Linked DNA regions of Drosophila melanogaster. The protein of the gene in region 1 purifies or fractionates together with the protein of each later gene. This does not show direct contact. Each region holds a gene or a part of one and is shown in the gene's direction. Other genes may lie near its edges.

The links.
Region 2: the proteins of Tm2 (region 1) and tn purify together in Drosophila melanogaster (affinity purification with western blotting; one study listed by BioGRID). This does not show direct contact.

The regions. Positions count from the first base shown.
Region 1 is NT_033777.3:15,308,453-15,315,776, forward strand, and holds Tm2 (tropomyosin 2), read left to right. Parts: upstream 1-1,792; 5' UTR 1,793-1,847; intron 1,848-2,224; exon of another isoform or gene 2,225-2,621; intron 2,622-3,582; exon of another isoform or gene 3,583-3,742; intron 3,743-3,923; exon of another isoform or gene 3,924-3,947; 5' UTR 3,948-4,000; coding exon 4,001-4,594; intron 4,595-4,656; coding exon 4,657-4,834; intron 4,835-5,138; coding exon 5,139-5,221; 3' UTR 5,222-5,568; intron 5,569-6,075; coding exon of another isoform or gene 6,076-6,158; 3' UTR 6,159-6,745; downstream 6,746-7,324. UniProt on the Drosophila melanogaster protein: Tropomyosin, in association with the troponin complex, plays a central role in the calcium dependent regulation of muscle contraction. May also regulate motor systems required to maintain nuclear integrity and apico-basal polarity during embryogenesis.
Region 2 is NT_033778.4:18,985,671-18,990,560, forward strand, and holds the start of tn (thin), read left to right. Parts: upstream 1-1,673; 5' UTR 1,674-2,021; intron 2,022-3,713; exon of another isoform or gene 3,714-4,018; intron 4,019-4,105; 5' UTR 4,106-4,196; intron 4,197-4,890.

The DNA.
Region 1 (7,324 bases):
TATCGTTAATCAGCATCTTCAAATAAAAAACTCAGTTACGCTTAAGCCAGAGTCAATTTTTCTCAACTTTCTGTTGCTTGTGTGTTTTTATGGCAGTTCGCGAAGTGTATCTACAAAATTTCTATGGCCTTTGTATATGTTTAAACAACAAGAATAGGAGATATATTATTAGAATATATAAACGAAGACATATAAATTAAATTTACACATTTGTCATAGCTTTTGTAATTCTATGAAGCGTGCAAAACAAATATAACAATGTATGTATTTTTCTTTTTCAACTCAATATTTTTACGATCAATAAACTGAAATCATTCTTTTGCATATAAAAAATTTCATGGATTTTTTATTTAAACGGTGGGTTGCATTAGTTAAATAATAAAAATATGCACTGATCATGAATCGAATATAAAGGACATAAAGTGTCCTGTTGGTTTCAATCTGCCGGAATATTGTGTATCCTTATTAAAAGTTAATATTGAAATCAAAATCAAATCATGCTTATATCCCAAAACTTATAGGATGTTTTTATTTGTGTTGGAATAACCATATTTGTCACATGTGTGATATTTTAACTCAACATTAAATATTCTTTGGAGCTACATATATAAAAAAAGTTTAAAATAAGCTTAAAGAAGAAGGGTTTTGAAAAATCGAATTTGAAAACTGAATACGTTTGCTCGCCAATTAGTTGTTTTTGAACAGTTTTGAAAATATGAAGTTTCAAACATTTTCCTAAATCAAGAAGAGCTATAAATCAACTAAAATTTGAAGTTATAAAAGTCTATAAATAAAGTGCACAATATTATTGACTTATGTAGGTTTGGCTTTTAAGTAAAATTTATTGCTGAACGAGAATAAAAAGATCGGGAGTACATATAAGTGTAATCCAGAGACTATGAGACATTTGGTGGAATCTTCTTGATATATAATAGTATTAAAGAAGATGTTACGTCACAGAAATATTGAAAGAAGAAGAAAATTGAACTGGATTTTGAGATGAATTGCTAAATGGATTTAGCGAGGTCGGACATATAAATAAAACCCACCATATATATTTATCTTTTAAATATACCTATATAAAAATATACATATATCTATAGAATTTCTTAGTTTAGAGTTTTGATAACAATTTTTCCATATCGTTACTTAATTGGTTATTAAAATAAATAAATTATAGATTTTATTCTTCAGTTATATAGTAAGTTAAGTGGTTTTGTTTTAGCAAAAAATCGAACGGGGACAATTAACACACAAGAAAATCGGATCAATTGCCTTGCATTCGAGACTTTCGAAAGCAAAAGAACGGCAGGAAAACGCTGGCCGATCAAAATTCCAAATATTTCTCAATATTTTTTTACCGAGCGAAAATAGATTTTCATCTTGTTGGACTTTTGCTCTTGCTGCTTGTGGCTATTTTTGGCCGTGTATCTGACGGATACACGCACACACACAGACAGCGAGAGTGCTGTGAGTAAAATATAAATTGAATTTAGATTTAAGAAGCAGAAAGAAAAGCGCATAAATTTCACGAGAATGCAGCCCAAAAGAGAGAGCATCGTATGAAGCAGCTTTTGGGGGAAATTTCGAGGGAAATTTTCGAGATCGCCGAGCAAAGTTGCGAAAGCGCCATTCCACATATACATTTATTAATGGGAAATTTTTGAGGCGAGAAATTATTCAATACCGCGTTGGTGTGTGCCCTCAGTGTGTGTGAGTTTTTCCGATTTTCCGAGTGGCAGTGTGCGTGTGCGTTGGATCTTGGGGTCGCTTTCTGGGCTAAGCAACTTGGTCAGCATCAGTGTTCTCGGGGTTTCGACAGCGTATAGTGTGTTTGAAACGCTAAGGTTGGTCACGCCAGGATTTTCACCCGACAAGAATTAACTCAAAATAAATATAATTAAATCGCTCGCCTTTGCTGCTAACCAAATTGGTATTTTCAACTGGATTTCGAGTGGATAACAAAATTGTGATAAGTGCATGGCATTCAAAATTATAAATTTTGAATTTTCCCCAAACGGGAAAAAAAAGGAAAACCTTGTTAAACTTAAATAAAATGTGCATATGTATATGTGTCAATTAGCCTGGATATAAAGTTCTACAAAAAGTTAAATGAGTGATCCAAATGTAATGGAAGTGAAAATTGCTATAACTAAAAAAATGAATATCTCTAAAAAACTTAAAATGAACGATCTAAACTACTTGAAAATGGAGATCTTATGATCATTTTTCGGATATTTTCAAAATTCGCTTATAAGGAATTTTGTAACTAAATCTGACGGCACCAATACCATCCAATAAATATCTGTGTGTGTGTGAGAGAATTTTTTTTTGCACACACACACATGAGCTTCATTCGGAAAGCTCTACACGAATGGGACACATATACATATGCACCTTACACACTTATGGCACGCACAATTTTCACACACACAATCACACTCGACCGATAAAGTTTTCCTCGAAGAAAATTCTTTAAAATTAACTGCAGACAGACACCTGCCTGTCACACACACACAGACATACGCATTTATTTTTAACTCTGCCTGAAATTTATACGAAAAAGCTTTTCCGTCTAGCTTTCTGTGATCTCAGAAAACGAAGGCAGTCGAGAACTATAGGTATTTATCCTTGAGATTGTTTTCGAGAGAGATATTTTGGAAAATATTAGAGACGTAGACGATTCCCAGATGCGGATACATATGGTATCTATCTGGGAATATATATATTCAAGGCATAGCCACCCACACAGAATTGTAGATTTCAGAGCGAATATTTCTAGCCATTCGTGAATGCGTCCGAAGGCCGCAAAATTTGCCATCTTTAAGATACATATTCGAACTGATTGAAAGCCCAAGTACCTTTGGCAATCACCAAAAATTTTAATGATGTGAAAACTAAGTAGCTATTTAACATATTATAAGTTATTTAAAGTCTTTAGAAAGAAATCCTTTTTACCTCATAAATCACATATTAAACATTGCTTATGTTTTTTTGGGTACAAAACACACATGAGTATCGCAAGACCTCCAAAAGATCAGCAACTACAACATAAATGACTTTGCCCCACTTTGGGTGGTAGCAACATAGATACACGAATTCGAATACGAATACGCCCACACACCAAATGACCCCAAAGAATTGAATACTTTTCAAATTGCAATCGGTGGCGAGCTATGTACATATATATGTGGGGTATTTCGAAATAATAGGGGGAAACTCTAGAATTACATTTAGCACACAATGTCCAAAAAAGCATTTCTCCTATGCGTGTGTGTGCGAGTGGACTGGATATTTTTTTCTCACATGCAAAAGCATATAAAGTTTATTTTTAACCCCACCGAATCGTGCAGCAAATAAACATATAAACATATAGCTCACCGACGGATCCGGATTCGGATTTTGAGTGGGCGTTTTGAAAATGGAAAATGAAAATTACGTGAGATCTTTTGAGAATGCTCGGCGTAGCCGCCAAACAAAATGTGTTTACATTTAATTCTCAAATTTATTGCACGAACACATATGCACAGCATATAGATATATACAATTTAATTATACCTATGGATAACCTATAGAATGCGCCTGGATCGTTTAAATAAACCGATTTTGTCTTGCAGCGGAAACATAAAAATTCTAGAAGTCACAGTAAAGAAACAAAAATGTATAGTCAAAAGAAAAATCCAAGTTCAAAAAATCTGTAATTTATGAAAGGAAATAAACATTGGAATATCTTAGGACCAACGTATATATGTTATAATATATTATTAAGCGGTTCAAAGCTACAATTAGATTTAAATAAAAAAGTCATACATTTTATTAATTATATAATATTATTATTATTATATTATAGTATATATAATATTCTATGCCTTATGAAAATTGCTCCTTAAAAATTGCACATTAAGGATTCAGTTATTCAGCTTACTCATTTGTATTATTTGGCACAGTGCTTTTTTCCAGTTTTCTTCCCTTGTAAGTCAAAAACAAAAACACAAACACCATGGACGCCATCAAGAAGAAGATGCAAGCGATGAAGCTTGAGAAGGATAACGCCATTGACAAGGCCGACACCTGCGAGAACCAAGCCAAGGATGCCAACTCCCGCGCCGACAAACTGAACGAGGAGGTGCGCGATCTGGAGAAGAAGTTCGTCCAGGTGGAGATCGATCTGGTTACCGCCAAGGAGCAGCTGGAGAAGGCCAACACCGAGCTGGAGGAGAAGGAGAAACTCCTGACCGCCACCGAGTCCGAGGTGGCCACCCAGAACCGCAAGGTGCAACAGATTGAGGAGGATCTGGAGAAGTCCGAGGAGCGCTCGACCACCGCCCAACAGAAGCTGCTGGAGGCCACCCAGTCGGCCGATGAGAACAACCGCATGTGCAAGGTGCTGGAGAACCGTTCCCAGCAGGATGAGGAGCGCATGGACCAGCTGACCAACCAGTTGAAGGAGGCCCGCATGCTGGCTGAGGATGCCGATACCAAGTCCGACGAGGTCTCCCGCAAGCTGGCCTTCGTTGAAGACGAGCTGGAGGTGGCTGAGGATCGTGTCCGCTCCGGCGAGTCCAAGATCATGGAGCTGGAGGAGGAGCTGAAGGTGGGTCCTCAAGAGAAATCCTTCTGTTCTCAAACCACTATTCATGGTGTATTCCCAACTAGGTTGTCGGCAACTCCCTGAAGTCCCTGGAGGTGTCCGAGGAGAAGGCCAACCAGCGCGTGGAGGAGTTCAAGCGCGAGATGAAGACCCTGTCCATCAAGTTGAAGGAGGCCGAGCAGCGCGCCGAGCACGCCGAGAAGCAAGTGAAGCGCCTGCAGAAGGAGGTCGACAGGCTAGAGGGTATGTATCCAACTTCCTACGCCCCTGGCACATTCACTCAGCCATTTTCCGCGGAGGTATCTCTCCACGGGACACCGGAGATGCTGTCCACCGGAAGTGATCCGCCTCGAACGGCCGGATCGCTGGCTTCAACTAATGCTCGCATTGTATTTATCGCCATAAGGATATTAATAATTGTACTTAGTACTCTGCTTTCATTAATTGACGTTCCACATTCACACATCTCGCTCGCTCGCCCTTTTTTTTGAATATCTCTCTATATATATATTTGTATAAATGAACAACAAACAAATGCTTTTTGCAGACCGTCTCTTCAATGAGAAGGAAAAATACAAAGCAATCTGCGACGATTTGGACCAGACATTTGCCGAACTTACTGGATATTAAAAAAGATCACAAACAGAACTCACACAATGCCCTTGCCTCCCCCCCCCCCCAACCGCCCCTTGCCCAACTCCCCCAAAAAAAGGAACACTCTCAGTACATCCCGAATCCCACACAGTTTATTATATATATATATATATATTCTATATTATATTTTTGGAACGATTCCCCCAACAGTTTCAGTGTATTTACCACCCAGCCCAACACGCCACACTTATCTATACACTGTAAATAATCTGTTTAGTCCCGCTTGAATGTGGCCACACCCACACGACCAGTTCCCTACGCCAGTACACTGTAAAAATAAGTTCAGATCAAGCCAAACCAAGTTGCAACTGTAGTTAATACAGGTGAATTTATCAATGTAAATATTGTTGTTTGTATGCCAGATTCTTACCCGTTGTGATGTGGCATGACCTCTTGACCCGTCTCGCCTTCGCACTCTATCTCAGTCTATGTCTCTATGTCTCTCTCTCTCTCTCTCTCTCTATCGTCTCGTCGATCATCAGTGGCTTTCGTTCGAGCCAATTTCGCCCAGGCCTTGGTCGAGGGATTCTCTCAAGGATTGCTGCAACGATTGGTTGGATAGATCATGTCCACATCCCGTAGAGCACCCCATAGATAGTCCTGTCCCCCACCTCCCCTGAAAACCCACGCACAGAACCGCTGACTAACCCAAAAGATCAAAAGATAGAAACGCCTGCCAGAACAGCGCGCCACTAATCCTAATCAATAACTCCATAAACTTGGTACACATGGTGTAAAGTTTGAGTGTTTTTCGTTTCAATTCCAATGTTAAAAAACCATATTTTTGAATATTTTCTAACGCATTTCCAACCACCATTTGCACTCCGCAGACGAGTTGGGCATCAACAAGGACAGGTACAAGTCCCTGGCCGACGAGATGGACTCCACATTCGCCGAATTGGCTGGCTACTAAGTTGGCCAACAGTCCCATTATACCAAATCCACACCAGCAGCGGAGGAAGATGGAGACGACGACGAGATGGAGAACTCTACTAATTGTAAACGAATATCTCAAATTGATTTGGCCAACACGAAGATCGGCGGCCGCAGATACCAAGAACAACAACCATTGTGTATGCAATTCTTTATAAATCTATATATTTCATAATAAATAAATAACAACAACAAACAGATCAACAACAGCAACAAAGCCAACGAGCATAGAAAGCAAATGGAAATTCTTTTGTTTTATAAAAAATAAAATTATCTAAAGTCAAAAGTAGCAGAATGTATAAAGTAAACAAAACGAAAACAAGAACACGAATTTTGTATTTTTAAAATCAATGTTTAAAAATATTAAGAAGCGCTTGCAGTCAGGCAATAAGAGCGAGAGAGCTAGAGAGAGTGCCCAGGAAAGAGACGGGGCTAAATTTAAAATTTTAAGATCGCGCTGCCTGCTTTACTTTCAGTTTATATCTTACAATTACACCACAAACAAACAAAAAAACACCCACAAAAAAAGTATAAAAAAATTTATAAAAACTTTGCTAAAAAAAAATTATATGTTTGATGTTTGCTTTCAATGATGCACAAAACCGAATTTCTTTGCCCTTCAGCGAATCGCGCTGAAGTTCACTACATTTTTGGCGGATATGCAAAGTAGTCTTCAGTTTTTTCCACCGATTTCTCATACTCTTGGGAAACCCCATGGATGCTGGGCCGAAATAACCAAGTCCGAAGTGCGTCACCACTTCATCGGAGATGGATCACGATCCGCAAATCGAGGCCTTCATTGCAACATCTTTAGCATCCGCGCTAATTGTCAAAGCAATGAATAATGAAAGTTCAGTTATCTGTATATATATGGCATATATACACATCCTCAGGGTGATTTCCAGATATGAATTGTAGATGTGGGCAGCTCGCCGTTTTGACCATCAATAAGTGAGTTAAGGCCGCGTTCGACATGTGGGTCTGTTGCTCTCTTGGCCAAATGGACTTTCTTGTAAACTGAACTCGAATTGAATTTCCATTTCTCCTCGCTCTTCTCGCGACGTTGGCCATAAAATAGTTATTAAATCGTTAAGTGGTGTGTTAAATTACCCACTTAAAGCGCCAGTCATTATTTACATAATTTAC
Region 2 (4,890 bases), on another chromosome or scaffold:
CGCATCGCCGCAGCCATGCCTTCCATTCGTCAATTGGCCATCCATCAGTTCTAATTAATCATGGCTCGGGCCTAATGAGTTGCTCTCAAATATGCTGGGAATGAATAGATGCCACTATTTCGGACGCTCCGCTAATGGAAATGGGTCTTAACTCGTGCTATACAATTGTCGCCGTTCCGATAGCCTTGTTGCAGTGTTCACAATGCAATGTCCGCAATACGCAATTTCAATTTCACGAGAACCAGCAACTGCGCACAAATCCAGCGGTGATTCTCATGCACATGGAAAATATACGAATCCTTAGTTAATTCTTGGAAAGCAGTTTGATAAATTAATTACTTTCAAAGGAACATCGTTAATTAATAATTTTCGTTATATCAGCATCGAATAGGAGGGGCACACACTTTAACTTTTTATTAGTGACATCAAAATATTATATTGATGAAGAGATGCTGTTCGAAACCTAATTATGTATGTTATATATATTCAAAAAATACATTTGGTTACCATTTTAGTAACTTTTTCTCAGCGTGTAATAGAGGATATAGCTGTGGCTATGGCGTTGTCAGTGGGACTGACCTAGAGTCCGTCAACAACTTGAGCTGCCTTGGCGAACGTGTTGACATCTTTGTTTTGGCCCGCTCATAATTCGCATTTTTTCGGTTTGTTTTTGTTTTGACTGCGGCTGCGGCTTTGTTTTAGCTCGCTATTTTTTCCGAAAATATATTAACGGCTAACCCGATTCATCAGCCTATTGACAAGATGTCATGTGGGACAAGCAAATGACCGAACAAAAGACCGAATGTCTGGCGAGGATGGCTAAATGCAGACCAATCATACTGCATGTGATGACGGAGAGGAATTTGGTATTTATAGAATAATAAGCGAAAAATAAGTAATATTAAAGAACTAAATGATTTAAGACAACATAGTAACAAATGTTGATCTTCTTAGGCATATTATTAATATATATTACGTAAACAAGTGCTTAGAAACAGAACTTAATAAATTAAGATGAAATAAATATTAATAATTCAATGACAAATCTTAAGCGTATATATTTTATTATGATGTCTAGAGTAAAAAACCTACCTATCTCTAAATCATTTGTCTTTCTGTTAACACTTTTAATTATGCTGAATTCTATAACTACATAAAACTCGCGCGATATTTGCTAAGACATCAATTTCCTTATTCTATATAAGTATCAATATTTCTATAAATATTTAAAAAAATTCGAAAATGAATCATTCTGCCAGATAAATGCGTGGGCGTCGATCTTTTCCTCAGCTTTTCTTTCCGCTGGACTAAAGAAAAGTGAAAATCTCACTCTAATAACTGCGAAATAAGCCAGAACAATAACAGGTAAGAATACGTATTGAACAATATATTGTCGCTCTTGGACTTTCTGCGCGACATTGTAAAAAGCGAGAGGAATTCTTACAGACAATTATGGTACATATATTATATTATATGTATATATGTATATAATTCTTGCACAGGTTCGTTGGGGTCGGGTGAAGCTGGGAAACAACAAAAGTGCTACGTGAAAGTGGGAAGAAGACGCAGAAATATTTGTGGCACTTTTGTTGTTGCCTCAGGTTATATTTATAAAATTTCACCTCAAGAACGGCTGATCATCAAGCGTTCGAGAGTCGAGCAGAGAAAAACATTCATTTTCATTTCTGGCACGCTCGCGAGTGGACGTGCGGACCGATACGCCGATAATAGCTATAGCCCAGTTCGATTCCCAACCACCTATATCCATATATATATATCTATTAAGTGTATATAGAGGGGTGCAAAGATCTACCCAAAGATCTTTCACCTGTCGCGCAGTGCGTGAGGGTGCGTCCAAAAGCACCAGTAATCGCGACGCGAGTGTTGGTTTGAGCCAAGGCGGTAATACATCGTACCTCAGTTTGAAAGTGAAGTCAGTGAAAGTCCTTGTGCCGCCAAGGCATGCGAATAAATTTGCAAAAGTTTCGCGAAGCATCAGGAAATAGAGGAAGCCAACGCAAGTGAGTCGAACGGGGTGGATACGTCCTGATTTTAAGCTCGTTTTTGGAAACGCATTCAAATGGAGATGAGCTCGACGCATTCAATGGCTGCTGATTATGTAAAAAAAAGAAGAGAGAAAACGGCGAAAGGCGTGAGAATCTCGGCGAGAGAAGGAGCTTGGGAAAATGTCACCTGGCTGAAAATTGCGCTTTCTCAACATCCCACCGTGTGCACACTCCCACATTCGTGAAAAGCTGTCAAAATTATTTTCATCTCCTTCGGCTTCGCGTTCAAAATTTATTAACAAATTTTGACATAATCATGTATACAAATATATGTTGATGAGGATCTGTTATACGCTATATTACGTGTGTGTGTGTGTGTGTGTGTGTGTGCATATCTCATCAGAAAGCATGGCAATAATTTGCCCACACTCACACACACAGGCACGCACACAGAGACGCACATTGCTCATACGCCGTGTTGCTGCCTTATTTTTAGTTCGATTCAATCAGCGACATTTTCAGAGATTTTCTATTTCCATTTCTGTTGTTTGTGTTTGTCTTTTGCCCGCTGCTCGCTTATCATTGATTGCTTTGTTTGCTTTTGTTTCGGTTTCGGTTTTGCTTTTGCTTGTTCCTTCTCCCATTCTCGCCATCCATTTGGAATGTTTGTGGTGGGCTTTCTCGTATTTATTTTTATATTCACACCTCTCACACAAAACAATTAATTTCTCGTTTCGAAATATAAAAATAAAAATAATACGGAAGATTAAGTGAGAGAGGCGTGTGCGGTTTAAATTTATGTGCCGCCGGAAAGTAGGCAACAGTTTTTTCCAGTTTTCCTTTTAGCTTTATTGCGAGCACTCGCCTCTTTTCAATTCACTTCATCTGCCCTCCAACCCCATCCCTCCTCCGCTCTTTTCGAGTGTGCTTCAGCTGGGCGGAAGTTCAAGGTCGCTGGCAGCATTAAAGAAGTGCCATTGCAGCACGCTGGCAATAGATATCCACCTAAACTAGTTTTGATTCGAATTTACTGGCCACTTTTGCAACTTAAATTAAAAACTGCTCGAAAGTAGCGCGTTGGCAACTTTAAAGTAAATGTATTGCTTATGATTTCTTAGTGTTGTCTCATTTTCTTTATCCATTCATTTAAAGGTATTTTAAAAACTACATAAAGTTGTACACCTTTTTGTTGAAAAGTTTTTGTTTCAACAGACAAATAGCATTTATATTACCAAAATCTAATATGGAAAAATATTCCAAATGTTTCCGAGCTATTGAAGTTTTTAAGTCACTTGTTTTAAGTCAACTTGTTGGTTGCTGAAATCTGTATTATGTTTAAATATTGCTATATTCAAAAGCTTAGTGATTGCAAATAAAACCAATCTGCAATAATACTAAAAACGAAATCATCATAAAATGTATGAATTGATGTATAATTTTTCATGCCACATTTTACTGTATCATTTTAGTAACGCAATGAAGCTCCGAATTGTGCTCATTAAAGAAAATTAATTATAAGGGATATCAATGCAATTGTGTGAACAATTAATTTCTATTAAATTCCCTTTACGCGTTCGATGCTCAAAAGACCGCCGATGTAATCATGTTATTATAGTTTCGGAAATTGGTTTTCCATTGTTTAATTGTTTCCTTTGGTCGAAAGGAACTCGGCCACGGCAAGTTAATTAAAAAGATCTACCTTCGCAGCCATATGCTCGACCCCAGCTGATTATTCATTAACCTGGTCAAGAGTGTGTGGCCCACCGAGGAGCTTATCTGTCGCAGTGCACAATAAGCGAACCTTAAGCGCATTCCGAACTTCATTATCTTCGACTGTCAACCGCGCCCAATCGAATCCCATTCAATACTATCCAATCCCATCCAATCCCATGCCATCCAATGAATTCCAACTTTCACCACCCGCCTTCATCATTGTTTTGCGTGCCGCAGCCTTTGAGGCCGTATAATTAAGTTGGCATGATGCGGCTTATGCGCAGCGTGTTAATGGCCAGGTAAATGGCTACTCGACCCTCACTCCCCACAATTCACTCACAATTGCCTTTGGCTCTAAATTTAATATATTTTCTTTTTAATTTCAGCCAGCAGAGTTAACAGCCAAAGGAACAGGCCCCTTTCAAGGGCGCCTCGGATACCCAAGTAGACAATAAGAAGAAAACAACACTTGGAAACGTAAGTTATCACCGCTGAAATTGGAACGTCACAATACTTTGTAGTTTCTATAGTATTCCTTTGGGAGTGCAGCTAAAATTTCAAAAAGTTTCGATTGCATCTGCTTCTCCCGTCTGCTCCGTTTATTTATAGCCCAAAAATACAGTGCAGTTTTCATTTCTTTATTTGTTTTTCTTTTTGGCCTAGGAGTGCAGACTGCAGTCTGTGAATTCCGGGCTAGTGAGTTCTATTTTCGGCATATTCCCATAGGGAGATAGAATGATATATACAGAGCTAGAGGAGCGAAGTTCTGACCTTGAGAAGCATGCACAGAAAAAAAAACTGCGAAACTGGATAGAATTATTTTGGTAAAAGTAACAAATGTTTGTGTAGGGAACTTAACCTACTTACTTACCGAATGCAATTATATGTAGTTAATAGATACAGATAGATATTTTGAACATGTTTGAGAAAAAGCTTAATTGTAACTTTTAGGGACAACTTTTTGAATGGAATATGAAATTTTAGTTCGTATTGCAGCAAACTAATGGTTTACTGCTACTTAAGTTAAGGGAAAACTTCTAATGGAAGTAGAAACTTTTCACTTGGCACAGAGAAATGTTCCACTAGTTTGACGGAACAGCGAATTCGAGCGATGTTCGCTCCAATTTTCAATGAAATTTATTTTTAGGGCCCGTTACAGCGAGATACACAA